Linked DNA regions of Pelodiscus sinensis. The protein of the gene in region 2 binds, or shares a complex with, the protein of the main gene of each other region. Links are inferred from orthologs where the notes say so. Each region holds a gene or a part of one and is shown on either strand. Other genes may lie near its edges. The genes, in order: PTP4A3 and CNNM3.

Region 1 (15,609 bases), on a different chromosome or scaffold from region 2:
AACTGGAGCAACCCATGCGCAGAAGGGATGGCGCCAGGGCTGGCCACAGCAAGCGGCTGAAAACAGAGGCGGAGACGTGAGGACACAGATGACATGATATCACTGTCGTCCCACCGGAAAACATTTTATCTATCTATCTATAAAGACATAACCATAAAGCTGTGTACAGATTGTTCAAGATCCAAACCACTTCCCACTGAAGTCAATGGAAGACTTTCTGATGGCCAACATCCTCGTTTTGTGGAAGGTACGTCTTCATAAAGCTATCCTGAGTAATTACATTGAATTTACACTGAACTCCTGCACGTGAAAACCCTCATGCTCAGTGTGATGGCACATCGGGGAGCCCCCGACCCTACACTCCTGTCTGCAGCCAGATGTGACTCAGTCAGGCCGTAGAACAGAAGGGTTATTTGCTTCTCACAGATACAGCACAGCACAGGCTAGACATTGCCACAGGAGCCAGGGCAGATAGCCTTAGTTCCCTTGCGGGGGAGGGGTTCACAGGCCCTTGAACCCCCCCTGTCTGGACTTAGTCTGCTTCCTTCATGCTTGTCTCCCCCAAGACTAAAGCAATCCCCAGCAACTGGTCCCTGAGCCCCCACGCAGCTCTGCCTGCTCCATTGTCCTGCTCCCAGACCAAAGGTGATAAATGTCTATCAGGGATAGTCTAGACAGTATTTGGTCCTGTCATGAGGGCAGGGGACTGGACTCGATCACCTCTCAAGGTCCCTTCCAGTCCTAGTATTCTACAATTCTAAGGTGAATCTTTTGTCACCTGGTCCCCAGGAAGTGAGACACTAACATACTTCCACAATGAGTCATGTCTGGCCGCCCCCCCGCCATGCAGAGAGACCTGGGGGGGACCTAATGTACACCCACACACACTATACCCCCCCCCACTAAGTGACACTCAGCCCCACCCAAGGGCCTGCACACCCCAACTGGTACCCGCACCCCAACCTGCACCTCAACCCCCAGGAATGCTCACAAAATCGGCCCTCCAAACAATTTCCATAACGAGATGTGGCCCTCAGGCCAAAATGTTTGCCCCCCCTTCTCTATGGTACTACAAATAATAAGAGCGAAAACAAGCCGCATGAGAAAGAGAATCTGTTCACATATCCTAGCATTTAAATAGTCACAACAAGGCTTTGTCACACACCTCACGTAAATGAGCAGGGTGGTAGTAGGGTGAGTTCACAGCTTTGCTGTTGATCTGGTTTAGCTGGAGACTTTTTTTAAAAAAGTTTTGCAAGTCTAGGTTATCAGGACAACAGCAGAACACCTGGGAAAGCAATGGAGAAGGGCAGCAGCAACAGAACTAGGCAGACTTCAGTTCCTGTCTACACATAAAGCTGTACCAGTTTAACAAAAAGTATGTATTTTTTAACCCCACACATACAACCAGTTCTGTTCTGCATTGGTAAGGGACCTCTTTAAACTAAGTCAATATAAACCAGGTTTAAATTCAAGAATGTCCACATTCAGGTTGCACCAGCTTAAATAAACCGTTTTTTAAAACAATGCCGCTTGCTATGAGGATCAGCACTTGCATTGTTGGGATGTCTGTGCTGTGTGAGTTCTAATGAAACATTTACACTCTCCCTCCTGCAAATTACCTTAGCTGTGCCAGCCTCACCCTCCTGCCGCAAAAATCCTGTGTCATGGGGCACAAAGAAAGTAGAGCTTCATTGGGAATTGTCAAAGATAACAAATGCCCATGCTCACTAGTGATTTTTCAGTCATAGAGATAGATGATTGTTTAACTTTCCCTCTCCAAGGACCAATTCCTCAGCAAGTGCTATTCTGTAGGTTTCTTTAATCACCTGTTTGGGTAATTGATGAGCATGGGGTCTTGAGATGCTATGTTCACCCACACACTCTTGCCAGTAAAATAGCTAAAGGAACTTTCCATCTAACTTGGAAAAAAACAAACACTCCCAACTGAGAATTTTACAAAATAATAAGCAAGTGAAAACAAATGAAGTTTTAGCTTTGCAGACACAGAGTAAAGATATGGAAAGATTACTATGATGGAGAACAAGTGATTAAGCAGCTGTTGGCTCTCAGTTGTACGCCAGAATTTAACATTTAAATTTTTTTTAATTAAATGTCTAATCCTTATGGTTGAGAAACAAACCTTCCAAACCAACCAAATTTAGCTTGATGCAGCTGGTCTTTCTGAACTGCAAGCACACAGCTTGAAACAGTAGCTCAAAAGAGCATGAATTACCACATTCTTCTCCGCTGGTTAATGATGCACTGCCAGGTGCTGCCAAAAGTTGCTAAAGTGCAAATACATCTGTATTAAGCATTTGTGAAATACAGCATAGAGTCCCAACTCAGTAAAATCTCACAGTTCTGAATTTAATTCCAGCTGTTGCAGAATACAACACGCGTGACACAAATCAAGGTGCCGTACTGAAGATTTTAAACCTAGTTGGCTGCAAAGTAAGGGATATTATTAGGGGAGTCAGTTACACACATGAGGTATCAGCTTCCACTGATGTGTGGTGTGTAACTGCCCCGGCCATCAATAACTGCATCCCTATAAGCCTACGTTTAAAGTAGGAGCCCTTTACCACTCGGGGAATAGCTGTATACTCTACCGACAAAGAACTCTTAGCTTAGACACAGTTATACTGGTCACCACACTAGGGGCTTCTGCTAGCACAGCTGTATTGAACATGAATTGTGTCTTTTCTCACCCCTGACTGTCACAGCGGGGCTGACAGAAGTCTGTAGTGTGGACCAAGTCTACAGCTTGTATTCTCGCTGAACAAGTTTACCAAAGACAGACGCACAAAAATACCCCATTCATTCCCCTTAAATCTCAGTTCTTCTGAAGTGGGTCTGGCCCACAAAAGCTCATCACCTAATAAATCATCTTGTTAGTCTTTATAGTGCTACATAGTCCTGTTTTTTGTTTCAGTTACACCAGACTAACACGGCTACATTTCTATTACTATTCCTCTGAGTGGGAAGTTAAAATTGATTTAGAAGCTGACAGTAATATAAACCCCAAGATCTGAGCTAATTGCAGGGATTAGTAATTCTGGTTGGACAAGATATACACACCACACGCATTTTGAAATAAGACACCAACATCTAGACCTAATGTCTCACAAGGGTCTGACCGACAATGCTAACAATTTGAATCTACCTAGGACCCAAAATGATGGTCACACGAAGGAAGAATTGTACACTGTACACATGTGCGCGCATGTGCTCCAAGACATAGACACAGCCCCAAAGAACCAGAAAAGAAACAAAGGCAGATGGGCAAAGCATTCCTACATAAGTGACTTGACAAATGTCATAGCTGTTCAGTGGCAGAAGCGAAATCGGAACTCAGGACTCCTGATTTCAACCCCAAACTTGTCCACTACACCATATTCCTTTACCATTTTCCTTGGCAATAAACTCAAGGCATTCAAATGTAAACAGTCTGTAATAATTTAAGTAAAATGCACGGCTTGGGAGGGAAACTGAGGGCTTGTCTACATGTAGAGCGATGCAGCCATGGCACTGTAGTGAAAACACTACTACACCAACAAGAAAGCTTCTCCTGTTAGTGCAGGTCAGAGGTGGGGAGCCTGCAGTCCATGGGCCACATCCAGCTCACTGCTTCATTTCTTCCAGCTCACACAAGCCTCTGCACCGCGGACAGGAAGCCCCAAGCCTCAGCACACACCCACCCCTTCCTGCAGGGCTGGAGCCATAAGCACTGGCTTGCTAACATGTCCCTGCAGCCCCTAAGCAGAGGAGGGAAATCAGGGAAGTTCGGAATGCTGCCCTTGATCTCAGAGCGACTCCCCAGCTCCCGCTGACTGGAAACCACAGCCAACGGGAGCTGCAGGGTGGTGCCTATGGGTGCACACAGAGCCTTCTAGCCCCTCCACCCAGGGACTGGACATGGCAGCAGCTTCCAGGAGCATTGCAGAGTGCGGGGCAGACAGGTTAGCCCCGCTGAGCTGCCAACTGGGAGCTACCAGAGGTACGTGCTACTCAACCAGAGCCTTGACGTCTTTCCTGCACACTAACGCTCTGACCCTGGTCAGAACCACCTCCTGCACCCGAACTCCCTCCTAGACCCTGCACACCCACCCACACTCCCTCCCAGAGCCCATACTCTGAACCTCCTCCTGCACCCCAACCTGTCCTAGCCCTGTCGTCACCCCTACCCCAGCCCTGAGTCTCCTCCTACACCCCAAACTCCTCATCCTAAATCCCCACCTCAAAGCTGGAGCCTTCACCTCAAGCGCCTGCCCTAGCTCAAAGCTCCATCCTGCACACGGAAGCCCTGATTTCTGGCCCCAAACCTCCAACTCCCCCCAGCAATATGTGGCCCCCAACTAATTTTGCCTGTGGCCCCTGACAGAAAAAAGGTTCCCTACCCCTCGTGTAGTTAATCCACCTCTGCAGGAGGCAGTAGCAATAACACAGTGCTAACTACAAAGGGGGAAGGGGGGAGGTTAGGTTCGTATAACTATTGCTCAGGGAGATGGATTATTCATAACCCAGACAATGTAGATAACAATGTAGATGTTAGGGATGTACAAAACCTTTTTAAAAAGTAACCACATAATTTAAAAATCTGAGACGTTAAACACGCTCCGGGCTCCCCAGGAGCAGGGCTGGTAGCCAGAGCCGGTAGCCAGAGCCAGCATGCACCAGAAACTGGCTTATAGTATAGGGATGTGAACGAGTACTCAAGTAGCCAATAAGCCTAGGCTTATCGGTTAATCTTCTTGACTACTCAATTTCACCTCCCCCTTGCTGCCTCTGCACCAGAGGCAGCGGGGGGGGGGGGGGGGGGGTAGAAGAGGAAGAGTGAAAGCAGAAATCAGTGCTGGGGGAAGCTGTCTAAAAAAATGGTTTCTCCCAGCAATGGCTCTGCAGTGCCACCTGGCCTACAGGTGTTCCGCATCCCACAGAGCAGCCTCTGTCTAACTCTATGGCAAGCCTGGGCCAGCTGCAGACAGATGCTGCTTGCAGCAGCCTCCCCCGCTCCTTCCCAGTAGCCTCTGTCCACAGGGAGACAGGGACTGCTGCCATCCCGCACTGCTGCCTCTGTATCAGAGGCAGCAGCACGGGGTGCCAGGTGGGAGCCAGTCTGCAAGGGGAGCTGGGTTTTAAACTGGCTTCCCTCACAGACCAACTCCCGCCTGTCATCCTGGGCTGCTGCCTCTGATACAGTTTGATACAGAGGCAGCAGCAGCGCAGGGTGGCAGAGGGCTCCCTGAAAATGGGGCAGGAGTGCACTGGCTTCCAGCCCCACCCTCGGGGACTATAGACAAATCAACTAACCACTAAGAATTCATGCAGTTAGTTGACCTTTCTATGACCTTTCCATAAGAAATTTCTATTTCTTATACCATCCCTAGTATACGTTTGTAGTGCAGACCTGGCCAAAGAAACGTGTCTCTAACATTTAAACACACATTCTCATGATGGCAATTGGATGACAACTGAGAGATGCTGGGGACTTTTACCAGCCTAGTCTTTGTTTGTTTAAAAATTAAACTAATGTCAAGGAAAAAGCCAACAAAATATACTCAAGCAAACTAGAACCTTGACAGTTATGTGTAGCCATTGCTACTTTTACCATGCAGCACCTACTCATGTGCCACTGCAAATCAGGTACTGTATACAGCAGTGGTCCCCAACATTTTGGGGCTGCCGAGCGCCTGGGGGCGGGGCCGCTCACGCGCTACGTGTACAGGGGTGGGGCCGCTCACAGGCCACGTGACTGGGGGTGGGGCCAAGCATGTGCAGCATGCCCGGGGCCGGCACTGGCATGTGCCATGACCCCGGGCAGGGGCTTCCCAGGTGCCGCCCAGGTGCCGCGCGCCTGGGGCCGGCCATGCGCCCGGGCCTGGCACCTGCTGCACGCCTGGGGGAGGGGCCAGCCCAGATTGCTCCGCAGGCACACAAATGGCCCAGCGGGCACTATGGCGTCCGCGGGCACCGCGTTGGGGACCACTGGTATACAGCCCCATATCCCATCCCATATACATTAAGAACACAAAAATGGACATACTGGGTCAGATCATCTAGCCTAATACACAGTCTCCTGACGATGCTAATGTCAGATGCTTCAGAGGGAACAAACAGGGCAATTATTGTGTGATAATAATTGTTGTCCAGTCCCAGGTTCTAGCAGTCAAAGGCTTAGGGACAATCCAGAGCAGAAAATTACATCCCTGACTGCTTTGGCTAATTGTCATCAAAGGGGGAGGGGACAGAAAATCAAGTCAGTTATGCTGTTGACCTTTACAATATCTCCTGGCAACAATTTCTACCAGTTGACTTTGCATTGTGCGAAGAAGTATTTCCCTGTTTGTGTTACACCTGATGCTTAATTATTTCATCAGGTGACCCTGATTCTTGTGTTATGTGAAAGGATACATTACACTTCCTTAGCCACTTTCTTCACACTAGTCATGAGTCTATAATCCCCCCCACCTTAATCATCTCTGTTCTAAGATACATGGTCCCCATCGTTTCTGTCACTCCTCATATGAAAGTTGTTCCAAACCCCTAGTAATTGTTTGCCCTTTTCTGTATTTTTTCCAATTCTTTTTTAAAAATGAGGAGACCAGAACGGCATGCAGTATTCTATCTTTACTGTCTCATTACCTACCCCTTTCCTAATGGTTCCTAACATTGTTAGCCTTGTTTGTTTCTTTTGGCCTGCCACTACACACTGAGTGGATGTATCCAGCAAACTATCTATGGTGACTCCAACATCCTGACTCCATCATTTTGGATGCAGAGCTGAAATTATATCCCAATGTGCATGATTTTACACGTATTGCTGATAAGTTCCATCAGCCATTTTGCCGCCTGATCACTCACTTTTGCGAGATCTCTTTGCAGGCAGCTTTGGACTTCACCAAGTCATTCTGTATCCTCTGCAAACGCTGCCACCACCCGGCCTGCCCCGTTTTCCAGGTTATCGGTGAACAAGCTGAAGAGCCCGGGGCCGGTCCAGCTCCTGGAGGTGCTCTGCTATTTACCGCTCGCCAGGCGGAAAACGGACCGTTTATTCCTACGCTTTGTTTGCTGAAAGGGCAGCGAGGCATCCTGCTTGGGGCGGCTGCAGCCCCACCGACTTCCTCCAAGCGCAAACACGTTCGGCGGGACGCTACCTCGCGCAGGATGCTCCTCGCCCGGGCGCACACCAGGACACCTCCCTCCCAGGGAGCCACTGGGCCAGCGGCAGGACGGGGGCTGCAGCGCGCCCCCCTTGCCGGCGACTCGCCCCGTTGCACGGCGCCCTGTGCACGGCGTGCCCAACTGGAGAGCGGGGCAGGGCGCGCTGCGGGGAGCAGAGGGGCGCCCACGCCCGGGGAGGGGGGCTCGTTCCCAGCGTGCACACGACGCGCCCCCCAAGTCCCGCACCCGGGGGTCCCCCGCCCCATTGTGGCCCCCCCCTCACCTGCTTGCGCCGCGCCGACCCTGCCAGGGCGCTGCCGCAGCAGCAGCAGCAGCGGCTCGCGCACTCCCGCCCCGCGCCGCACGCGCTCGCTCCCTGGACCGCTGACGGAGCTCCGGCGCGCGCTCGCGCTCCCACGCGCCTGGGCCCCAGTCCCTCTGCGGCGCGCTCCACCCCCTCCCCGCTGGTTCGGAGGCGGGTGGGCGCAGGGGAGGGGGGCAGATGGCGTCACGTGGGAGGGGGAGGGGGAGAGTGAGAGCAGGAGGGGGAGGGGCAAAAGGAGAGTAAGAGGGGGAGGGGCAAGGGGGAAGAAGAATAAAAGGGAGAGGGGGCAGGGACAAGGAGTAGGAGTGAGAAGGGAGCAAAAGGCAGGAGCAGAAAGGGAGAAGAGAAGAGAAGAGAAGAGAAGAGAAGAGAAGAGAAGAGAAGATGAAGGGGGAAGGGGGAAGGGGGACAGAAGGTGCTGAGGTTGCAAAGAAGGCATGGAGGTGAGGAGGCCTTGTGTAACTGCAAGATAGGCCCAGTTTCTACAGGCTAGTTTTGCTGTTGCCAACATTCAGTTTTTATCCCAAGTGTTACCTATGGTGCTCCCCCCCCCCCCCCCAAGTTCAAGGAGCATTTCTGTAAGCTGTTATCAGGCTAGTAACACAATGGTTAACTCATACACTAACCTGCAAATTCAGTGCCTTGGAGGAAGAAGTTAGGGAATCTGTGAGAAATCCCAGATGGGGTTAAACTGCATCACACGTTGGAAAATGATTGTACAGCGTAATGTCACGCGCGCATTTCTCAAAACGGGACTATCCCTACAAATACACCCAGAGCTTGGAATTAACTATTGAATTAACTAATGTATAAGTTCAGCACTACCCTCTGCTGGAGGGAATCTGGACTGTCCAACTGTGTGTCACAGGTTCTATACAAAAAGCACCTGAAGGTGACTCACGCTTAGCACAAGTAGAAAAGGCATCATTCAAAGCCCACTGACTTTTGAAAGATTTGAGTTCTAGCCCTGCTAGCAGACGCCAAGTGGGCATGCTGGCAGCATGTTGACAACAGTAGGTAGGTAAGGGTTTGTATGTAATGGCCTGACATAAATGATCTTTCTTCTGGAGTACAGTGGTCAACTCACTTTAAACTGAGATGAAATGTTCAGAGATATACAACAAAGATGACTGGAGGTACTTACACATTGTGTGAGATTCCAAAAGCTATGTATAGGAAGGAAAAGAATTAAAATATGAAGAAGAGTCACTTGACTGATGTGTTCATTGATGAGAAAGGGTAGTGTTACCTGATTTCACTGGAGAACAACCCAGGGTTACACTAATAGGCTGTGTCTAGACTGGCCAGTTTTTCCAGAAAATCAGCCGCTTTTCCAGAAAAACTTGCCAGCTGTCTACACTGGCCGCTTGAATTTCTGCAACAAAACTGACGATCTCATGTAAGAAATACGGAAATAGTTTTCAGTTAAAAGCATTTTCCGAACAGAGCGTCTAGATTGGCACAGAGACTTTTCCGCAAAAGCACTTTTTGCGGAAAAGCGTCCGTGCCAACCTAGACGAGCTTTTCCGCAAAAAAAGCCCCGATCGCCATTTTCGTGATTGGGGCTTTTTTGCGCAAAACAAATCTGAGCTATCTACGCTGGCCCTTTTGCGCAAAACTTTTGCGCAAAAGGACTTTTGCCCAAATGGGAGCAGCATAGTATTTCCGCAAAAGGCACTGATTTCTTACAGTAGGAAGTCAGTGCTTTTGCGGAAATTCAAGCGGCCAGTGTAGACAGCTGGCAAGTTTTTCCGGAAAAGCGGCTGATTTTCCGGAAAAACTGGCCAGTCTAGACACAGTCTGAGTTATCAGAGTCTGTGTCCATCACCGAGAAGCCCGCCCAGACCTCATTTTCCTCATGGATATTACTTCCTTCTTCTCATCTTTGCTGCACCTCCATTTTTTGCCTATCTCATGTGCAAGCAAAGATTACCTCAAACCCACCTAGCCTCTGGCTCCTCCCTGTAGCCTCATGGCTCTTCTCCACAAAGGCACAAACATTACACTATTCACACCACTTACACACACCCACACACTTCCTTGTCACAGGATAGTGTTACAGACCTTAAAGATTGTACAAGTGAAGTTACAAAGCTTGCAAGAAGTTGCAGAACTTGAAACATTACATGAAAGTTACATGGCTTACAATAAGAGAGTTGCAACTCTCTGGCTGTCTCTACACTGGTATGAATTTCTGGAACTGCTTAAAACGGAATACTATTCCGTTTTCAGTTTTTCCGGAAAAGGAGCGTCTACATTGGCAGGCTGCTTTTCTGGAAAAGCCCTTTTTCCGGAAAAGCGTCTGTGGCCAATGTAGATGCGCTTTTCCAGAAAAGAGCCCCGATCGCCATTTTCGCGATCAGGGCTTTTTTCCGGAAAAGACTACTGGGCTATCTACACTGGCCCTTTTCCGGAACAGTGTTCCGGAATAAGGACTTATGCCTGAGCGGGAGCAGAATAGTTTTTCCAGAATAGCGGCTGATTTTGTACAGTAGAGCGTCGTTGCTTTTCCGGAAATTCAAGGGCCAGTGTAGACAGCTCTCAGCTTATTCCGGAAAAGCGGTTGATTTTCTGGAATAAGTGGCCCAGTGTAGACACAGCCACCGTGTCTGAAACTGACAACTTAGAACAACTGAGGGTGTGGGTAGACTACAGGGTTTTTTCCAAAAAAGTGGCCTTTTTTCAAAAAAACCTTCTCCTGCATCTAGACTGCCCCTGTGTTCTTTCAAAATTAAATTGAAAGAACGTAGCAGTTTTTTTGACCGTGGTAAATCTCATTTTACAAGGAAGAAAAAGGAAGAATGCCTTTTTTTTAACTGTTCATTTTTTTTAACTGTATCCTTTGGTATATATGGTTGTGACTATTTTCTTCCACTATTTGATCTGAGGAAGTGGGTCTGGCCCACGAAAGCTCATCATCTAATAAACCATCTTGTTAGTCTTGAAAGTGCTACATAGTCCTGTATTTTTTTTGAAAGTGCTCTTTCAAAAAAAGGTGTTCTTGACTGCAAACAGGGCTTTTTTGAAAGAGAGTATCAAGACCGCCTGGGTGCTCTCTTTCGAAAAGCAGCTCGCTTTTTCGAAAGAAGTCGTTGCAGTCTAGACACTTTCTTTCAAAAGAGGCTTTTTCGAAAGATTCTTTTGAAAAAGCCTCTTTCGAAAGAATCTTGTAGTCTAGACATAGCCTGAGAGTTACATATCTTACAACAGAGCCACCCCACTCACAATGGCTGATAATGACATGATTTATAATACTAAAAGTTATATGTCTTACATTCACATTATACCGGGTTGGGCGGAGGTTTTACACAACATTTTGCAAAAAAACAGAAAAATCCTTTCCTGCTTACACCATATCTCCATAATTCTACAACAATGAGTTACTTGAAATTAACAACAGATTAATTTGAGACAAGCATATGGAAATATTTTTCACACAGTGGTCAGCCAGCTTGTCGAACGGCTATAAAGTTAGCTGAACTTAAAAGAAGACTGGAGAATTTCCTAAACAATATAAACAACAAATTTAATATGATGCAACTCACAGTAGAAAAGCCAGATGCTCTCTAGATATAATGAGATTACATCAGTGGTCACTACCCTGGAGATGTGGGTGATTTAAAAGCTGCAAATGTTTAGCTGTTCAGGACAGGGGTCTTGTCTTAGGCAGTCAATAGGTTACTTTTTTATTATAAATCTCCATGTATATCTAGGGTGCTATTTAAATACCATAAAATGGAAGAAATGAGACCAAAGCACCAGTCTTCAGCACTAGCTGCCTTTCTTAATTTATTTGTGATGGATAGTTTTTTATGGCACTTGTCACTATAGCATCTGAGTGCCTCCCAGACATTAAAGAAGTATTATGGTCTCTTTTTTACAGAGATGAAGTGAGGCACCAAGACGGATTAAGTGCCTTACCTGAAGTTATATAGAAAATCTGTAGTAAATCTACTAATAAAGTCATACAAAAGTAAAGATATAAAGGACTTCAAGAGGTCATCTAGCCTAACCCTTGCCCTCTCTTCCTGCATACTCACTAAGTACTAAGTGTAGCTAGATCATCCTTGACAGATGTTTGTTCTTAAAAACCTCCAAAGACAAGGATTCCACAACCGCCTTTGAATGTCTCTTCTAGTACTTAACTAACCTTATAGTTAGAAAGATTTTTTTCTAATATCTAATGCAACCAGATTAAAGTAGTTCTCAGTTCCAGAGACATGCTTTACACACCTTCTAGACTACCCTCGGCTTCCAAAAGATATGCAAATTCGGGGTGAATTTGCATATCTTCTTCCGATCTCTTTTTTGGAAGAGTTTTTTTTTAAAAGCAGTCTAGATGGGGTTTTTCATGCAATCCCCCCCCCCTTTTCGAAAGAACCCTGTAAACCTCATTTTTGAGAAATACGGGTTCTTTCAAAAAAAAGGGGGGGGTGCTTTTTTTTCCGAAAAAACTTCTTCCGAAAAAGGGATTGGAAGAAGATATGTAAATTCACACCAAATTGGGTTCTACAAATGAAGGACAGAGTACATCCACACAGCAAATCAAAGGTGTGATTGAAGAGCAGGTTAGATAGCAATGAAAACATGACAGCATGCACTTCAGTGTGGGCTACCAACCCAAGCACATACCTACATCCTTGGCAAGATTGTACAGTGGTAGCTAGCCTCTGCCAAAGCCCATGCGTCTGTATTTTCGTTACTGTTATTGCACACACCAGCTAGATTAAAGCTAGCACACAGGTATGTGTCTACCAGTGACTCCATCTTCATATGCTGACTAAGTGGGCTGTGCCCATGAAAGCTCTTGTTCTCAACTGCATGTTTTATTAGTCTTTAAAGTGCCACTAGACTATTTGTTGTTTTTTTAGTTTTTTTTTGTTTTTTGTTTTGTATCCTGAGAATCACAGAAATCTGCTCAAGGTTACATTATACATCTTTATCATTTTGAGATAAAGCTGCCTTCAAGGTTTCTCCTGTTCTATAATATCTATCAATGTGCTCCCTGATCATTTTCATTGTTTCTCTGTTTAAATATTGAACTTTTTGGAGCAGAGATAATGCCTTTTGATCTGTTTTGTGCAGCATTAAGCACACTATTGGTGCTTAGCAAGTAGCAATGTCTATGGCTAGACCAGGTATAAACTCTAGGATGCCTATCACCGTACAATATGCAAAGGAGGATCCAGTTCGTGGTCTATGGAGCTTACAATCGAAACAGAGTGTACACACATACAATGCCTGGGATGATCAGAGGCAGGTTTTGTATCACAGTGTTGCAAGATTAGAGATGACTAAGAAAAGAGGAGACTAAGGGGGGATATGATAGAGGTCTATAAAATCATGAGTGGTGTGGCCAAAATAAATAAGGAATTGTTATTTATTCCTTCTCATAACACAAGAACTAGGGGTCACCAAATGAAATTAATAGGCAGCTGGTTTAAAACAAACAAAACTCTGCCAGAGAATGTTGTGAAGGCCAAGACTATAACAGGGTTCAAAAAGAACTAGATGAGTTCATGGACGATAAGTCCTTCAATAGCTATTCGCTAGGATTAGCAGGGATGCAAAATCAGGCTCTGAAATTTCCCTAGCTTCTTTTTAGCCGGAAGCTGGGAACAAGCACCAGGGGATGGATCACTTAATTATTTTCTGTTCATTCCCACTGAAGCACCTGGCATTGGCCATTATGGGAAGACAGGATATAGGATTAGGTAGACCAGGGCTACTCAACATGTGGTCCATGGGCCACATGCGGCCCACGCCTGTTTGCTTGCAGCCCGTGGTGCAGTTTGAGTTTATGCAGGGCTTGACATAGGTGGGATCTTTTGAATATGGCCTCCACTGGGAACACGCTCCACAATGGCGAGGCATCGCCCAGGCAGTCTGAGCGCTGAAAGATGCAAGTGGACGGACTGACTGGAACAGACAGGTACAAGGTGTCGGCATTTCTAACCTTCAGCGAGGAGGTGCCGGCCCGCCGGGGCATTGTGGGAAGTGCTTTGTATTCATGCCCGTCAGTGTGAAAGAATCTATTTGCATATATAGTTGCATGTATAAGCCACCACACTTAAGTTGCGGCCCTCGTCAAGTGCTGTGAGTATCACTGTGGCCCCCAGGACTTCCAGAGTTGAGTAGTCCTGAGGTAGACCATTGGCCTGATCCAGCCAGTTCTTATGTTGCATATGTTCTTTCTTGTTCTTCTATGATAACATGTGACAATACTGGTTATGTAACTGGCTTCACACCAGTTGGCTTTGCAGAATGTGTGTGTTCAAAGGAGAACCACGCACGTGAAGACAGATTAATTGAAAAAGGAAATGATTGTTATTCTAAATGTGTAGAACCTTTGGGGGACTGTGAGGGGTTATTATTAGAGAAGGGGTTAAAAGCCAGTTAATGCATGCGTGATTTGACTGATTGATTGATTGATTGATTGCCATTTGGCCAGAAGGAGTGAAGTTATGTATAGCTCATTTTAGGCCCTTGGGCCTTATAAGAATCTAGAAACAACTGAGGAAAGAGACTTCTTGCTGAGGAGACAGGATTTTCCCATTGAGAGCAGGTCAGGTTCCTGTAGGGGTGACCCTGAGATAGAGTGGGGCCAGTAAAACCACTTAAGTGGAGCCTAAGAGGTATGGAAGACATATGAGTTCAGTAGTGAATGGAGGCTGTGTTAAGCACAGGCAGTGGGAAGCAATACAAGGGGGCGTAGCAATAGGAAGCAGCCCAGAAAAACAGTAGCAAGTCCGAAGAAGCAGACCTAGCTGCCTGGTAGCGGGGTAGAAGCCACAAACTAGAACAGATGGTGGGCATGGCTTCCTGAAGAAAGAGAACACAAGTCAAATGTAAGGAATATGAAGCCCAGCATGACCCCAAAAGCTGGGGTAAGGAATAGCTCAAACAAGTCCTCAGGTGAAACCAGATTTGACATGCATATTATTTCCATGGTAAAAAATCAAACCAGGCCTGTACGCGGGGTGTGTGTGTGTGTGTGTGTGTGCGCGCGCGCGCAAAGGGTGCTAACCCGCTCCTCCATGGTCCTCCAAGTAAGTGTGAGGCTGGGGTGACACGTTGCCCCAGCCTCCCCACACCCCTGTGCTCCGGTTGGCCAGGACACAGAAGTGGCGAGTTGCCCCAGCCTGCCTCCCCTGTGCTCTCACGTGCCAAATTTTGCCTGTTGAATGAGTTGGCCTAACCAGTTCATGTCTTTATTCAAACCTTGATTAATGGTGACAAAATCTGACACCTTTAATCAAGGTTTGAACAAAGACATGAACTGGATAGGCTGCTACATTCAACACCTTAATGACATCAAAAGTTAGGTACCCAATACTTAACGTACAGCACTTACAGCCCACTCTATTAGCCTCATTTAGCATGGACACTCTAATTGACAAGATTTTTTTCCTTCTCTTTCCCTCTCCTGTTCCCCTCTTTTTCTGTCATTTATTTGTAATTCCGGACCCCCATGCTCCATTCATTTGAAGATGTGGGTTGTGCCCATAAAAGCTCATGATATGATCTACATGTTTTGTGAGTCTCTAAGGTGCTGTAGGGCTATTTGTTGTTTTTAAATTTTTTTTTTAAGAATTGGATTTGTTTCGTTTAGAAAAAAAAAAGACTAAGGCTATGTCTACAGTGCAGGCTTCTTTCAGAAAAAGCTTTTTTTGGAAGAGATCGTCTGAAAAAACTTCTTCTGAAAGACAGCGTCCACACTGCAAAAGTGCATCAAAAAAGCTATTTGCTTTTTTGAAAGAGAGTGTGCAGACTGAATGGATGCTCTCTCGCATGTAAGCTGTCATTGCTATGGACATAATGGCCACCAAGGCACCTGTGCTTTTTCCTCTTTCCTCTTCTTCCAAAAGAACTCCCTCTTCCCCGTCCACACACGCCTGTTTATGAAAGACCTCTTTTGCAAAAAGGCTTCTTCCTCGTAGAATGAGGATTACCAATGCTGGAAAAACCCTTTTGTTCTTTCGATTTTCTTGCAGAAGAATGCAATTGCAGTGTGACATTCCTCAAGATTTGCTGGAAAATGGGCTGCTTTTCTGACAAAACTCTGTAGTGTAGACATACCCCAAGAGGGGACAGGATAGCTGTTTTCAGGTATCTAAAAA
Region 2 (14,844 bases):
CTGAACAGATCCACCTCTGATGGGGAGCGAGCGGCAGAGAATCCAGCCTCAGCCGGGGCGGGCGCTGCATCCGAGCCGCTCCCGGGACACGGGACTTTGGGTCCCCCTGCCCCGAGCCCAGCAGGCCCATAGGGAGAGCCCAGACCCCTCTCCTGCCGCAGGAATTGCCAGCCAGAGCCCGGACGTACTGGCGCTGGGCGAGCCGGGCGCGGAGCCAGGGAGGGCTGGGCGCGGGCTGCCTGCCCACACTCACCTCGGGATAGGAAGCGCTGCGTGGCCAGCAGCAGCTGTGGGGAGATCTTCACCTTGTGCTCGTTGTCAGCCTCCTTGAACAAGGAGAAATCTTCCTTCCTGTGCTCCAGCAGGGTGCCCACGGGGGCTGGCTTCTTCCGCACCCTGTTCTCCTCTGAGGCACAAGAGAAGGCAGCATAACCCTGGGGGGCCAGAGCCCTCCCGAGCAGCCACAAGCTGGCAGGTCAAAGCACAGGAAAGAGAGCTTGGCATCCCCCCACCCCCCTAGGGAAACTGAGGCACGGAGCAGGGGAGGACATGCTTCAAGTCATGCAGGAGCCACACTCCCTGTTCTCCCACTACTAGGGCCTCCCCCTTCAGCAGGCAGCCTGACACCCCCCACCCCCCGCTGGGAACAGCCCCAGGCGGCCTGGTGCACCAGCCCCCGACATGCTGGGGAGCAATGGGCCAGCCTGGCCTGTACGGGAGGGGCTGGGGGAGACGTAGGAGCAGGAGGGCCCGGCTGTCTCTGCAGCGAACGCCAGGCATGCAGCGCTGCCCACCAAGCCACGGGTCCCAAGGGCTCGGCAGGCCCCGGCCCCGCATGGGGCTCACTCACTGTAGTCGTCCGACTCGTCCAGGATCTCCGACTTGATGATCTCCTCGATGACGTCCTCCAGCGTCACCAGGCCGATGGCCTCGTAGAAGGGGTCGCCCTCCCCCTCGTTGTTCACCTTCTGCACGATGGCCAGGTGCGACTTGCCTGGGGGTCACCGGACCCGCAAGTCAGGAAGAGAACCCAGGAGTCCGGCGCCCCGCCTCATGCGCCGACCACCGGAGAACTCTGGCTCAGCCCAGACGCACCCCGTTCCTATCCAGCTAGGGAGCCGCAGGCAGCAAGGGGCTAGGCAACAGCCCCCCATGCTGCCGTGTCCCCCCCCTTTCCAGCAGGGCATTGCAGCAGCGACGGGGGCGATTTACCTCCAGGCCGCTGTGGGGGCCTTCTCTCTCCTGGCTGGGGCTCAGCAGCAGCGCACGGGGCCACTTTACACTGCGGGGAGTGGACAGCCATCACAGACACTGGTTCTGGAGCCACAGGTGGGTTCCTGGAGCCCTCAAGTGGCTGGCATCCGCCCTGCCCCCTTCCCCGGCTAGGGGACTCAGACTCCCACAGAAGGGATGTGGGGGTCCAACTGGCCATCTGCAGCCCAGATCTGGCCCTCAGGACCATCCTGTCTGGCTTCGTACCATGCTGGGCTACCGAATGGCTCGCTCCATGCGGGGCGACTTTGGGTGCACTGTGCAGGTGAGGTGGGGGGCACAGCCCCCACCAGGCCAGAGGACCCCACCCCACAAACACGGCCCGCAGCCGCTGTCCCTAGAGGCGCCCAGACACGTGCCAAACGCATCCTGTTTGCTTGCACCCACTAGCCAGTGAACAGGTTGCTCTGTATCGGCCCTCTCGCTGTTCCCCTCTCCCAGCGTCTGGATCCCCTGCAGCCCTGACCAGGTCACAGACAGAAGCCTTAACGTGATCCCTACAGGCCCCTGCTAGAAACACCCCCGCCCAATGAGGGTTTCCTGCTTACAGCTTGAGACCCCCACAGGCCACACGCTCCCACCCCCACTGAAACCCACAGGGTAGGGCCCTGCCAAATTCACGGGTCACTTTGGCCGATTTCACGGCTGCGGTGTCTTAGAATTGGTCAGTGTCATGATTTCAGATGTTCACATCTCAAATTCCAGTGTCCGATCGGTGGGAGTCCTGATCCAAACAGGCCCCAAAGCTGTTCGGGGGGGGGGGGGGGGGGGGGCGGGGGGGCAAACATTGCTCACATAGCCACCACCCTCAGCCCTCATCTGCAAAGGAAACCTGCCCCCAGCTGGGACCCCACCTGCCCCTGGAACTCCTGAGGGCAGGTCTGCGCTGGGGCCGGCGATGGGGTGTCACTCAACCCTCAGTGTAGCCAAAGTCAACGTCCCTAGTGCTACTTACTACAGCGTCTGCACTGCACTGCGCCCGCTCTCGCCGCCCCCAGCACTTCCTGCTGAGGTGCTGTACGGAGGCCAGGGAGCAAGTGGCTGGACTGATGGCTGCCCATTGGCCCAGCCCGCAGGGAAGACGTGCCCCGAGCTCCCAAGTTCCCCTCTCAGCCACAGAAGTGAGTCCAGTAGGAGAGGACCTCACCCCCCAAGACCTAGCAGCTTTCAGTCCATTTAACATGGGCCACACTCATCGCGCCTCCTCCCAGTCTGTAACCAAACGCTGGGCAGTGCTAGATCAACCTCCCAGCAGAAGCGCACGTCCGCTACGTCCACCCTGCTACGTTTTCAGCCAGACTCGTAACCTCACCCAAGAAGCGACTGGCTAGTTCCACAGGATGGATTTTCCAAAAGCCCATGTTAATTGGCAATAATTAGATCAGCTTCCTTTCATCTGTTATTCCTCGAGTCTGCATCGACCACTCGGTTGCTTGCACAGGGTCAGCGTCACACTGGCAGTGCCGGGACTGCCTTGGTAAGCCAGCTCACCCAAGTGAAATACTGGCACAACGTCAGCTTTCCTCAAGCCTGCGGGAACCTCCCCAGTGCCCCGAGTTAATGAAAATCAAATCAGAGTCCACGGGGCCCAGGGCCAGCTCTTTTCAGACTCTTGGATGCAAGTTACATGGACTCCACCCCCCACGGGCATCTCAGCCGCTTCCGACTGCCGAGTCGGGCTCTGGCCAGAGCGCAGAGAGGCTGACAAGGTCGCTCTCTCGCCGCCAATCCCACCCCTCTGGCCTGGGAGAGCTGGTTTGCTGATGGCAGAACAGAGCAGCCCCGGCACCTCAGGGGAGCTCAGAGCACTTAGCGCCATGGCTCCCGACTGTCACCTGCACTCGCGGGCGGGACGCTGTCAACCAATAGCAGAGCTGGGAATAGAACAGTCCCAACCGCCAGCCCCCCAGAGCCACCCACGGAACCCGGGAGTCCCAACCGCCGGCCCCCCAGCCCCCCCAGAGCCACCCACGGAACCCAGGAGTCCCAACCGCCGGCCCCCCAGCCCCCCCAGAGCCACCCACGGAACCCGGGAGTCCCAACCGCCAGCCCCCCAGAGCCACCCACGGAACCCAGGAGTCCCAACCGCCGGCCCCCCAGCCCCCCCAGAGCCACCCACGGAACCCAGGAGTCCCAACCGCCGGCCCCCCAGCCCCCCCAGAGCCACCCACGGAACCCAGGAGTCCCAACCGCCGGCCCCCCATCTCCCCCAGAGCCACCCACGGAACTCGGGAGTCCCAACCGCCAGCCCCCCAGCCCCCCCAGAGCCACCCACGGAACCCAGGAGTCCCAACCGCCGGCCCCCCAGCCCCCCCAGAGCCACCCATGGAACCCAGGAGTCCCAACCGCCGGCCCCCCAGCCCCCCCAGAGCCACCCACGGAACCCAGGAGTCCCAACCGCCAGCCCCCCAGCCCCCCCAGAGCCACCCACGGAACCCAGGAGTCCCAACCGCCAGCCCCCCAGAGCCACCCACGGAACCCGGGAGTCCCAACCGCCGGCCCCCCAGAGCCACCCAGGGAACCCAGGAGTCCCAACCGCCGGCCCCCCATCTCCCCCAGAGCCACCCACGGAACTCGGGAGTCCCAACCGCCAGCCCCCCAGCCCCCCCAGAGCCACCCACGGAACCCAGGAGTCCCAACCGCCGGCCCCCCATCTCCCCCAGAGCCACCCACGGAACTCGGGAGTCCCAACCGCCAGCCCCCCAGCCCCCCCAGAGCCACCCACGGAACCCAGGAGTCCCAACCGCCAGCCCCCCAGCCCCCCCAGAGCCACCCACGGAACCCAGGAGTCCCAACCGCCAGCCCCCCAGAGCCACCCACGGAACCCGGGAGTCCCAACCGCCGGCCCCCCAGAGCCACCCAGGGAACCCAGGAGTCCCAACCGCCGGCCCCCCAGCCTTGCCAACCAAAGGTCACTGCAGGGCAGCGGCAGAGCCTGGCTTGAACTGGGGCCACCTACCCTCCTGCAGGCCCCGCCCTGCCCACCCTCTGGTTCGCCCTCGGCCCAGGGCTGGCTTGGCCCACGGTCACACGGAGCGGCAGGGGCTTTGGGCTCCGCTCCAGGCCCAGGAAGGAAGCAGCCGGTTCCAGGGGCCCTGAGGAACACGGAGCTCAGGGCAGGCGCCAGATCCCTGTGGCCATGAGCTGGCCCTGCCAAACGTTTCCATGGCAGCAGGGGCAGGCCCTCCAAGCGCTCTCCCTGCCTCTGGAGGGAAGAGCCTGGCTTTGAAGGTGACCTTCCCCAGGACCCATGGGGAGGGAGGGAGGCACTGGACTGAAATCAGGGGAGGGCAGCGCGAATGGGCTTGCTGCGGATTGGTGTCCACCAGCCCCTGCAGGCGATGGGGGGACCGCGGAGCAGGGCTGGCAATTGGGCTGTGTGGTTTGGTTAGCTTCTGCCAACTCAGAAGCCCAAGAACCACTTGGGAGCAAAGCTCTCTGTGTTAACGCTTTCACAGTCCTTCCGCCAAGGGCTGAGCGTGCTCACTCCACTGCCCAGCTGTGCCCCCCGAAGCCAAGAGACACCGAACCGGGAAGATGTTCCCAAGGGCCAAAGCCAGAGCACGGGAGCTGCAGGCATCCCACAGACGCTAACCACAGGTCCAGGCACCAGATTCCTCCCTTTCCAGAGCAGCACTCCCTCACCTCCCGCTGCTCTGGCCTGGCCAGGCCAGGTGGGAGACAGGGCTCACTGCGCTGAGGGCGGGGCTCCGGGCATGGCACTAGATGGCACAATAGCTGGGTAGGGAAATCCGACTGAATCCCAGCCTCTGCCCTGCTTTGGGGAGGGCACGTCTGCCACGAGCGGCAGCAAGGAGCCAGCCAGGGCCAAACCTGCCCGGCCATCGCTGGCAGGGGCAGACCCCAGTCAAAGAAGGGGGCAGCAGTCGGTCCCGGCTCTGACCCACCCGGCTGGTGCATGGAGAGAGGCCAGCCCTGGGCGTCCCCCAGGGAACATGGGAAGTTGGCTGCCCAGCAGTGTGGAAGGAGTTAACTCCTGTGTACCCAGCCACCTGAGCACTGCATGGGCCGCTCCTGGGTATCTCCTGGTAAGGGTGATGCTTCCTGGGTAACCGGTTAACAGTTCCCAGCCCAGCAAGGAGAGAGCCCCCTGGTGCCCCCGCAGGACAGCACCCCCTTGCATGGAGCTGGAGCAGAGAGGCCCCGGGGCACTGGGGCGGTTACCTCGCTTGAACTCCTCCAGGACGGCGTCCAGCTTGGTGTCATTGAAGACAAAGTGCAGGGGATGGTTGTAGAACTTGATGATGGTGCTGAGGGGCACGCGGTCGTCAGGGTCCACCAGCGCCAGGTCCTTGACGTAGAGCATGTCCACCAGGTTGGTGCGCTCCCCCTCGTAGACGGGGATGCGGGTGTAGCCGCTCTGCATGACGACGGACATGCTGTGGAAGTCCAGCACGGCGCCGGCGCTCAGCATGAAGCACTTGTCCAGCGGCGTCAGCACGTCCTCCACCGTTTTGTTGCGCAGGGCGCCCTTGCTGAACTCCTCGCGCACGAACTCGCTGTACGGGTCGCTGCTGCGCACCATGTCCAGCACCTTCTCCCGCAGCAGGCAGGTGCTGGCGTCGTGCCGCAGGGCCAGCTCCAGCAGCTTGCTGAGCGGCAGCGAGATGGGGAAGGTGAGCACCATGCAGAGCTGGGTCAGCCAGAGCCCGCGGGACGCCAGCCAGAGCCCCCACCGTGCGCTGAGGGCAAAGGGCAGCACCTCGGCCAGCAGGAAGACCAAGGCGGCCGCGGCCAGGATGGCGGGCGCCAGGGCCCGCAGGGCCCAGCCGATGAGCACGGCCAGCGCGGCGTTGGCCAGGGTGCTCAGCAGCAGCAGGGCGCAGAGGGCCAGGGCGCCCCGGTGGCGCACCCGCTGCAGCGCGGCCCCGGCCCGGCGCTCCGCCTGCGAGCCGCACTCCCGCAGCACGGCCAGCTCGGCGGGCTCCAGCCACAGGGTGCTGAGCTGCAGGGCCCGCAGCCCCCCGGCCAGCGCCAGCAGCAGGGCCAGCAGCAGGGCCAGCAGCCAGGGCGCCGGCCCCTCGTCGCCCACCAGCACCGCGTCGCCGGGCGCGGCGGGGGCCCACGGGCGGCCCGGCCCCGCGCGGCTGCACAGCTGGTAGGTGCCGGGCGGGCCGGCGGGCGACACGGCCACGCGCACCAGCAGCGCCGCGGGCGCGCCGGGCGCGCGCTCGTCGGGCTGCACGTGCAGGGCGCGCGCCGGGCAGGGCTCGCCGGCGCGCGCGAAGGCCAGCCAGGGCCCGCTGCGGTTGCGCAGCCCGGTGCCGTAGAGCCGCAGGCGGAAGCGGGCCCCGGGGCGCGCGCGGACCAGCCCCCCCGCCGCCCAGGCCCCCTCCTCCAGCCGGAAGCCCAGCACGTGGGGAGGGGGCGGCGCGGGGGGGGCGGAGGAGGGGGGGGGCCCGTCGCGCCCCGCGGCGCAGCCCAGGCACAGCGCGGCCACGGCCCAGCGCAGCCCCCAGCCGCGCGCCATGCCAGTCAGCTGACGCCCCCCCCCCCGCGCGCGCACAGCCTCGCCTGCCGCGCGGGGCCGGCCAATCGGGGAGCGGGGCCGGTGGGCTCCGGCCAATGGGCGGAGGGGGCGGGCCCAGGCGAGGGAAGCGCAGGTTGGGCTGCGCCGGGACATAAACAAGCAGGGGGCGGGGCGAGCGGGCTGGATTTAAAGGGCCAGTGAACGCAGCCAGCACCGAGCCCCCCCACCCCCATGGACAGCACATAGAGCCCCCCCCACACCCCTGGACAGCGCCCAGCGAGCCCCCCCACACCCCTGGACAGCGCCCAGCGAGCCCCCCCACACCCCTGGACAGCGCCCAGCGAACCCCCCCATGAACAGCGCCCAGCAAGCCCCCCCCACACACCCCCATGGGCAGCACTTAGAGCCCCCCCCCACACCCCTGGACAGCGCCCAGCGAGCCCCCCCCCACACACCCATGGGCAGCACTTAGAGCCCCCCCCACACCTCTGGGCAGCGCCCAGCGAACCCCCCCCATGAACAGCGCCCAGCAAGCCCCCCACACACACACCCATGGGCAGCACTTAGAGCCCCCCCCACACCCCTGGACAGCGCCCAGCGAGCCCCCCCCCACACCCATGGGCAGCACTTAGAGGGCCCCCCACACCCATGGGCAGCGCCCAGCGAGCCCCCCCCCACCCCCATGGGCAGCACTTAGAGCCCCCCCCAACACCCCTGGACAGCGCCCAGCGAGCCCCCCCCCACACCCATGGGCAGCACTTAGAGGGCCCCCCACACCCATGGGCAGCGCCCAGCGAGCCCCTCCCACCCCCATGGGCAGCAGGTGCCACAAGGATGCTAAGGATTGTGGTTTTCTGTAGAATTTCCAGCAGTTACATTTACACCGGGGGGGGGGGTGTGTGTGTCACACTCGTTAGGTTTTAAGTTGGCTCCCGGTGAGCATCAGCTCCGGCCTGGCCCCGTGCTGCTGCCACTGACAGGGAGGCAGCAGGGGTGGGGTGTGGAGTTGTTAGGATTAACCAGTAACCCCAGGCTTATTGTTTAAACACAGATATGTTAACATCCCTGCTACCAAGCCCCCCACAAATGGGGCAGCCCCCCCGGGCCTCCCCCTGGCAGTAGGTACAGAGTCCCCCCACACCTGTGGGGCAGTGGGTACTGAGCCCCCACGTACAGGGCAGCGCACAGCAAGGCTCCCCCCAAAGCCATGGGACAGCAGGTCAGAGGGTACAGAGCCTCCCCCCAAGGGCTGCACCGTGCATCTAACTAGCCCCTTCAAAAAGGGACAAGCCTGAAAAAACCTGGACAGGTGGCACCTGCCTGTATCCAGGGGCCTTATTGGAAAATCCTGGGCACCTGCCCTCTTCTATAGGCCCCGCCCCCAGCACTGTGGGCAGGGCCATTGGACCCATGTTCCAAATAAATATAGGGACCAATTAATGACAAGCAGGTTCAGGGCAGCTGGGTAGAGGTTCAAAGCGAGGGATCCAGAAGGGGGAACCCCAGCCACGCCCACTGATCCTCGAAGTCATCTGGGCAGCCAGTGGACACTGCCCTGGGGAACTCCGCCCGGATACATGAAATTAGGGAGGAGTGGAAACAGGACCCACCGTCCCTGAGCACCTCCTTGCGCAGCATCCTCCTCCTGCTGCTGCTGCTGGTGGCCTTGGCAAGGAGGCCCTGTGGCTTTGTGGGGCCACACGTAGAGGGCGCAGAAGTAATGAGGGGCAGGGAAAGATGCAGCCAGAGCCTCAGCAGGAGGAGACAGATTAGGGGCTGCAACCTGATGCACCAGAGGTAGGCGGGCGCCAGCTTCTACCTCACGCCTCTAAGGGGACCGGCCTCAGGGATGGGGCTGAACCGTGCCCGGTCCACGCCCGTGCTCGTGGCTCTGTGAAGAAGCTGCCCACTGACATCCCTGGCCAACCGTGGAATCAGGGAGGACTAGAGACTGGCCCATTGGGGGTCCTCACCCTCCACAGGGGGTAGCAATCCCGCCACTTGGGGCTGGGCCAGGACGTGAGGGTCAGGAAATGGAGCGTGTGCACACTTGGTCCGTGGGTGCAGGTCTCACAGCCGGCTGGGATTGCAAAGGGGAGGAAGCCAGGTGTGTGTGGGGGGGGGGAGAGGACTCGCGGAACAGGGGCCCAAGAAAAAGGCTGGAGAGCTTGCAGTGAGGGGGAGCAGGACGTCCCCTCCCATGGGGCCCGCTGTAGAAAAACGAGAGAGGGACATGCACCTTCTGAGGCATGTGTGGGGGCTCTGAAGGGCGGAGAGCCCCATGCAGCAACTGAGCACTTGGGATCTACCCAGTCCCTCGGTCACGTCCAGGAGCCCTGGTGGTTCCTGCCAGGACCAGTCTCTGCCACACCGAGGGGGACTCTGCTGCCTGTGCCTGCAAAGACAGGTTGTGTAGCAGGGGCTCCCTGAGAAGAGCGTCGAGGGCCGGAGGAGGCCCTGGCAGAACACTGGAGCTCAGTGAGCTCTCGCAGACCTCTCAGGAGGGAAAAAGCTGCCGGTTGAATTGGAGCCCTCGGAGGCGGCGAAAAAAGGCCAACGTGCTCCTGGCCGGACGGTGTGAACCATCCAGGGGCCTCCGCTGGGCCTGTGGGGGGAGGTACAGACCTGGCTGTGCAGGCAAACCAAGCCCTGTCCCCCATCCTCCAGTATCCAGCGGCCATGAGACCTGCCCATGCCTGAGTCCGGGACTGGAGGAACTTCTCCCTGCCCAAGGCAGAGCTGAGCAACCTGGAAGGGCCCAGGGGCTCAGAAGGGCAGGATCTCACCTCCTTTTCCCCTTGGCCATGGTTAGCCTGCAGACAGCAGGAAGCCCAGCCCCGTGATCTACGCAGTTGGTGCTTTAAAAGGCTGGAACGGATGAGGAGCCAAATCAGCTGGGAGGAAGGATTTACTCAGAAAAGCAAGAATGATCATGGGAATGTTACCAGCTCACAAGAAAGCCTCAAGCCCATTTACAAGGGAGAAGGCGGAATTGGGTAAGAAGTCAGCCTGGGTTGGGGGGAGTCAAGGCAGCTATTTCGAGGGGAGTGGGAGAAAGGGAATGTTGACATTCATGCCTAGAAAGCAGAAGCCAGGCAGGGTAGAAAATCGATGAGCAGCCCCAGGACACAGGCATCCATTGTGAGTCCAACCTTGAATAAAGTGTGCCGTTCCCATTGCCTCATCTGAGAAAGATTGATTAGAATTTGAACAGTATAAAGAAGGGTGGCAAACAAAGATTAGGGGGTCTGGGACAGCTTCCATGCCAGGGGAAGATTAAAAAGACTGGAACTGTTCAGCTCAGCAAAGAGAGGACTAAGGGGGACGTGATAGAAATCAATAAAATCATGACTGGTGTGGACAAAGTGAATAAGGAATTATTATTCACCCAACGATATGAATAGGCAGCAGGCTTAGAACAAAATAAGGAAGTACTTCAAACAAGGCACAGGCAACCTGTGGAACTCCTTGCCAGGGGATAGTGTGAAGGCCAAACCTTTAACGGAGTTCAAAAAGGAAAATCATGGCTATTAGCCAAGATTGCCTGGGATGCAACTCCAAGCTCTGAGTGTCCCTAACCTCTGACTGCCAGAAGCTGGGAATGGAGAACAGGGTGGATCACTTACAATTTCCCTGTTCTGTACATTCCCTCTGACGCATCTGGCACCAGCCACTGTCGGAAAAGAAAATACAGAGCTAAACGGGCCTTTTCTCTGACTCCATCTGGCTCGAGGGCCTCGTGCGGAACCTGCTTTTCCTGTTGGGGTCTTACACAGGAAGCCTCGAGGGCACTGCACACACAGCCCCCAGCCCTGGCCAGTCACCCAGGCAGCAACGGAGCAGGCCCTGGTGAAAGCAGCCCCATGCTGCAGCCCCCACAGTCAGAGCAGGAAGATGAGGGTTTGTTTTAGTTGTAAAGTAGGTTTAGAACCCAAACTCTGCCCTGTCCCTTTGCATTCTTAGCAGCGCCTGGAGCCAGGTTGGGTGCTGAGGAGCAGGGCAGGGAGCAGGTTAGCTCTGGAGGCGGCTGCCTGTCACTCAACCAAGGCCCTACCAGCTTGGGCGAATGGAAAATGAAGAAGCAAATATCAGTGAATCACAGAATCCTCGAACTGGAAGGGCCCTCGAGAGGTCGGTGAATCCAGTCCCCTGCCCTCACGGCAGGACCACGCTCCATCTAGACCATCCCTGACAGGTGTCTGCCTAACTTGCTCTTCAATATCTCCAGCGATGGAGATTCCACAACCCCCCAGGCAATTTATTCCAGTTTTAACCACCCTGAGAGGCAGGAAGTTCTTCCTAATGTCCAGCCTGAACTTCCCTGGCTGCAGTTTAAGCCCATTGCTGCTTGTCCTGTCCTGAGGCCAAGGAGAACAAGTTTTCTCCCTCCTCTCTGTGACACCCTTTTAGGTGCTTGAAAGCTGCTGTCCTGCCCCGTGTCTTCTCTTTCCCGAACTCAACAAACATCAGAAACTTGGATTCGGTCAGTTCCCACTTCATCTCTCTACTAAGCTCCAAGGGCCAGGTAAAGCAGCATTGCTGAGGGGGGTGGGGCTATGTGCATGGACCCCAGCTGGGATCTGGCCCATCGACTCCCACGGGGTGATGGCCCATTTGCCTCAGCGGGTGGCCTGTCCCCTAGAGCTGAATACAGACACGAAAACAGCACAGGGCTGAGCGTCACTGACTTCAAGGGAATCCCAGCAGCTTCCATCTACTGTGGATCTGGCCCAAAACGCCAGCGCTTGTGACATGACATCATTCGCTTCCTACCACATGTGACCAGAAACGATTAAACGGGAACAGGCTCTCCACTGCCTGTGAAATCAGATGCAGGCTCTGCCTCCTGCCCTCTGCCTACAGGGTGGGAAGGAATCTTGGGGGCGCACAGAGCACAGCAGGAGGGGAATAGAGAGAGAGATTTTATTACTCAATCAAAAATAAATTCCATATTTCGTTTAGCAAATATCATTTCTTAGCAACAGAGACGCAGACTCAGAAATGAAACAAAACAAAATCCCCTCCCAAAAGGGCACAACTCAGACCAATGGAAAAAGTATCGTCCGAGAAACGACGGCCCCCAAAGAATCACAAACATGTACAGATTACCTCTGGGGCAAAATAAATATTCGTCAGTTGCTCCCTGGCACGGCCCATCTGCGGCGCTTGGACCCCTCAGCTATGCAAAGCCAGGATGCTGGGGAGTCCAGTGCAGGGTTATTGCTGATTGGCAGGGGAGGAAAGCCAGAGGAATCAGGGAGAGGAGCTAAAGGTCCCGGCAGAGGATGTGTGAGACACTCCCACTGGTGCACAAGAGTAGAGAAGGCACCCGCATCCGAATGCAACACTTTGTACCTGTCTGCATGCAAAGCAGGGCAGAATCAGACCCACAGACTATGGGACGGCCGCTACGTTTGAGGGCATTTGGCGTCTTGATCTGGGTTTCACCCAGCGATGCCAGTGGGGAAAGGACTGAGCAAGACTGGCACATGTCCGGGTGTTGTGCACGTCAGTGCCAGCAGCAGCTGCCAAACCCACTGCCCTTGCTAGGGGTAGGCTAGGCAGCGTTTCATGGACTACCCTGGAGAAAAGCTCAACAGGACTCATGAAAGTGACCAGAGAGCATCAGCTGGGCCTTTGCACAGAACCCACTGCCCCTCCTAACAGGCCTAGACTCTGATCAGCAAGGACAGGAGGGGCCACTCCAGTCTGCTCTCCCAGCAGCATGGGTTTGGAGTCAGTCCTCTAATGTCAGCAGATCACGCCCCCCAGCCAAAGCAGGTCCAGGGGTGCGTGCAGCCCAGATGCAGGGAAACACCAATGGGTCGGCTTCCACGGGCCATGTGCTTTACTCCCCCCAACTGCACAGGGGCTGAAGCACATAGCCAGGGGCAGCTCTGAATACAGGGGATGCTTTGCTGGATTGGAGCCAAGCTGGCCCAAAACACGATCAAAGCATCACTGCTTCTGAGGTCCCTGCCTGCTCTCCCACAGGGGACAGCAAGGACACATGGACTGAAAGAGAAACCTGCCTCTTGTCATTCATTGGACTGGCCCCATAAGTCCGCAGTCGAAGAGCGGCTGCCCACACCCCTCTGACGAGGCAGGTGACAGGAGCATGGGGGCTGCGCCCGCACGGCCACGAGGGACGGCAGAAAGCGGTGTCAGAAGACCCACTGGCTTTTCTCAACCAAGCGTCGCCGAGATCAACATTCCTTCTTGAAAACATGGACTTTTAAAACCTCGAGCGTCTCTCCTCATTACCAGTGTAACTTAGAGAATCAAGCTCCCCACAACCCGCTATCAAGTCACCCCCTTTGGGAGCTGCTGGCGTCTGTCTGCAATAAAGTACCTCGCGCCACCAGATCGAAGCAACAGCCAACAAGAGCCTGTCCATGGGCAGGGGAGACATTCCCAGGAACACCACCACACTGTGCAAGCTGTGTCTGTGCCTTGGCCCCTGCTGGGGGCTGCCCCACGTCTCCAGAAGGGGGGCTGGAGGTGCACAGTGTGTCTCAGCCCCTGCCTTTCCACGGACACTGCCGCTGGAATGCAACAGACGTACAAAGCCAATTCTGCAAGTAGGAGAACTGGGAAATGGGGGCAAGAAGTCCGGTCACTGGAGTGTTCCTTTAAAATGCTGAGGAGCGAGCCGGGTTGGCCCCAATCCTGAACCCTGCTCCCCACAGGTGGATCGCGGCTCGTGAGGTATTTCTGCTACTTGGATGGGCTCTGCCTAGGTCCCAGGGCCACCTCCATTGCATCCAATTGCACAATCAGGGACTTAAACACCCTGCCCCCCTCCAGCTTCTCCTCTAACCTGGCCACATTCATTCCCCTGGGATCCTCCCACTCCCACCCTATTAGTCTGCATTAGAGGCCTCCCCACAGGCTCAGGCCTGCAGGTTCTGTCCAAGACCGAATGGAGGCTCCCTGCTATGGACGGAGTGTCCAGCAGGGCACCTGTGCTTTTTCCTCTTTCCTCTTCTTCCGCAAGAGCTCCCTCTTCCCCGGCCACGCACGCTGCTTGCGAAAGGGCTCTTTGGGAAAAAGGCTTTTTCCTCGTAGAAGGAGGATTAACCCCTCTGCTCTTTTGATTTTCCTGCGGAAGAACGTAATTGCAGTGTGGATGTTCCTCAAGTTTTGTAGGAAAAACGACTGTTTTTCCAACAAAATTCTGTAGTGCAGACATACCCGGAGATGGGGTCTCAGCAAGAGAGTGATCACGACTGAGAAAATTCAGGCTCCTGTGGAAACCAAGCTGGAGTGCGCAGCGGCTTTGCGGGGTGCGTCTCCCCGGATGAGTGACTATGTAAAAATGGCTTGTTTGCCTTCGAAAGACCAGCTCCCTGCACCAGTCCCTCGCCAGAGCTGCTCACCCTAATGGCCCAAATTACCCGTCACCCTGGGGTGCCCTGCGAAGAGGCTTGGGGGGGACTCGCAGCTTTTCCCATTTTCATGCCGGGTACCATGAATGGTGATGAGATGTTGAGGACCAAAGGTCTGTAATTAGCCTGGAAAAGGTGGGTCAGGAAGCCACACTGGCTCCGTTTCCATTGAGCTGCAGATGCTGCCTGGCATCGGAGAGTCCTGCACCCCAGACGGGAGGTTCTACACGAACCCCACGGTGACAAGACACTTCCCAGGAGCGCTCGGCCGGGGCTCTGAAGGGAGACGTTTCTCCAGCTTGGAATGATTCCAGCTTGAAAGGTGAGGCGCAAGAGAGCAATTTTTTCCATGAGAAAACAATTTCCAAAACTCGGATGGAAATTCAGAGGCTGCCTGGATCTGCAGATGGGGCTTTCTGACCAAACAAACAAAACCAACCCTGCACTAGTCCCAGATCATGGCCCAGGGCCCCAGAGCCGAGCCGGGGCCTCGCAGGTCACACGTCCGTGTGCGACACCCGCTCTGTGCACACCGGCCACTGAGCAGAATGAACCCAGCAGCAAGGCGTGCCGCGGCCTGTTTAAGGAGTGACTAAGCCGCCAGCCCTCCCTCGTGAGGAGGGTCCAGCGGCCAAGGCAGAGCTCCGAAGCAGCCGCACAGGATCGCCAATGGCGTGGGCACCCAAGCCCGAT

What was found.
Region 1: the proteins of CNNM3 (region 2) and PTP4A3 are in contact, whole or in part, in a crystal structure (PDB 5TSR), measured with the Homo sapiens proteins. The link is inferred for Pelodiscus sinensis from reciprocal best matches to the Homo sapiens genes CNNM3 and PTP4A3. Residues at the interface, in NP_060093.3 of Homo sapiens: Ser357, Asn358, Phe394, Asp396, Lys418, Val419, Asn421, Glu424, Gly425, Asp426, Pro427, Phe428, Tyr429; in NP_001425170.1 of Homo sapiens: Asn5, Pro7, Asp72, Gly73, Ala74, Val105, Ala106, Leu108, Gly109, Arg110, Arg137, Arg138, Gly139, Ala140, Ile141, Asn142, Lys144, Gln145.

What each region holds. Positions count from the first base shown.
Region 1 is NC_134712.1:6,590,622-6,606,230, reverse strand, and holds the start of PTP4A3 (protein tyrosine phosphatase type IVA 3), read right to left. Parts: upstream 7,604-15,609; 5' UTR 7,448-7,603; intron 1-7,447. UniProt on the Homo sapiens protein: Protein tyrosine phosphatase which stimulates progression from G1 into S phase during mitosis. Enhances cell proliferation, cell motility and invasive activity, and promotes cancer metastasis.
Region 2 is NC_134738.1:5,721,548-5,736,391, forward strand, and holds the start of CNNM3 (metal transporter CNNM3), read right to left. Parts: upstream 6,779-14,844; 5' UTR 6,764-6,778; coding exon 5,458-6,763; intron 995-5,457; coding exon 851-994; intron 407-850; coding exon 254-406; intron 17-253; coding exon 1-16. UniProt on the Homo sapiens protein: Probable metal transporter.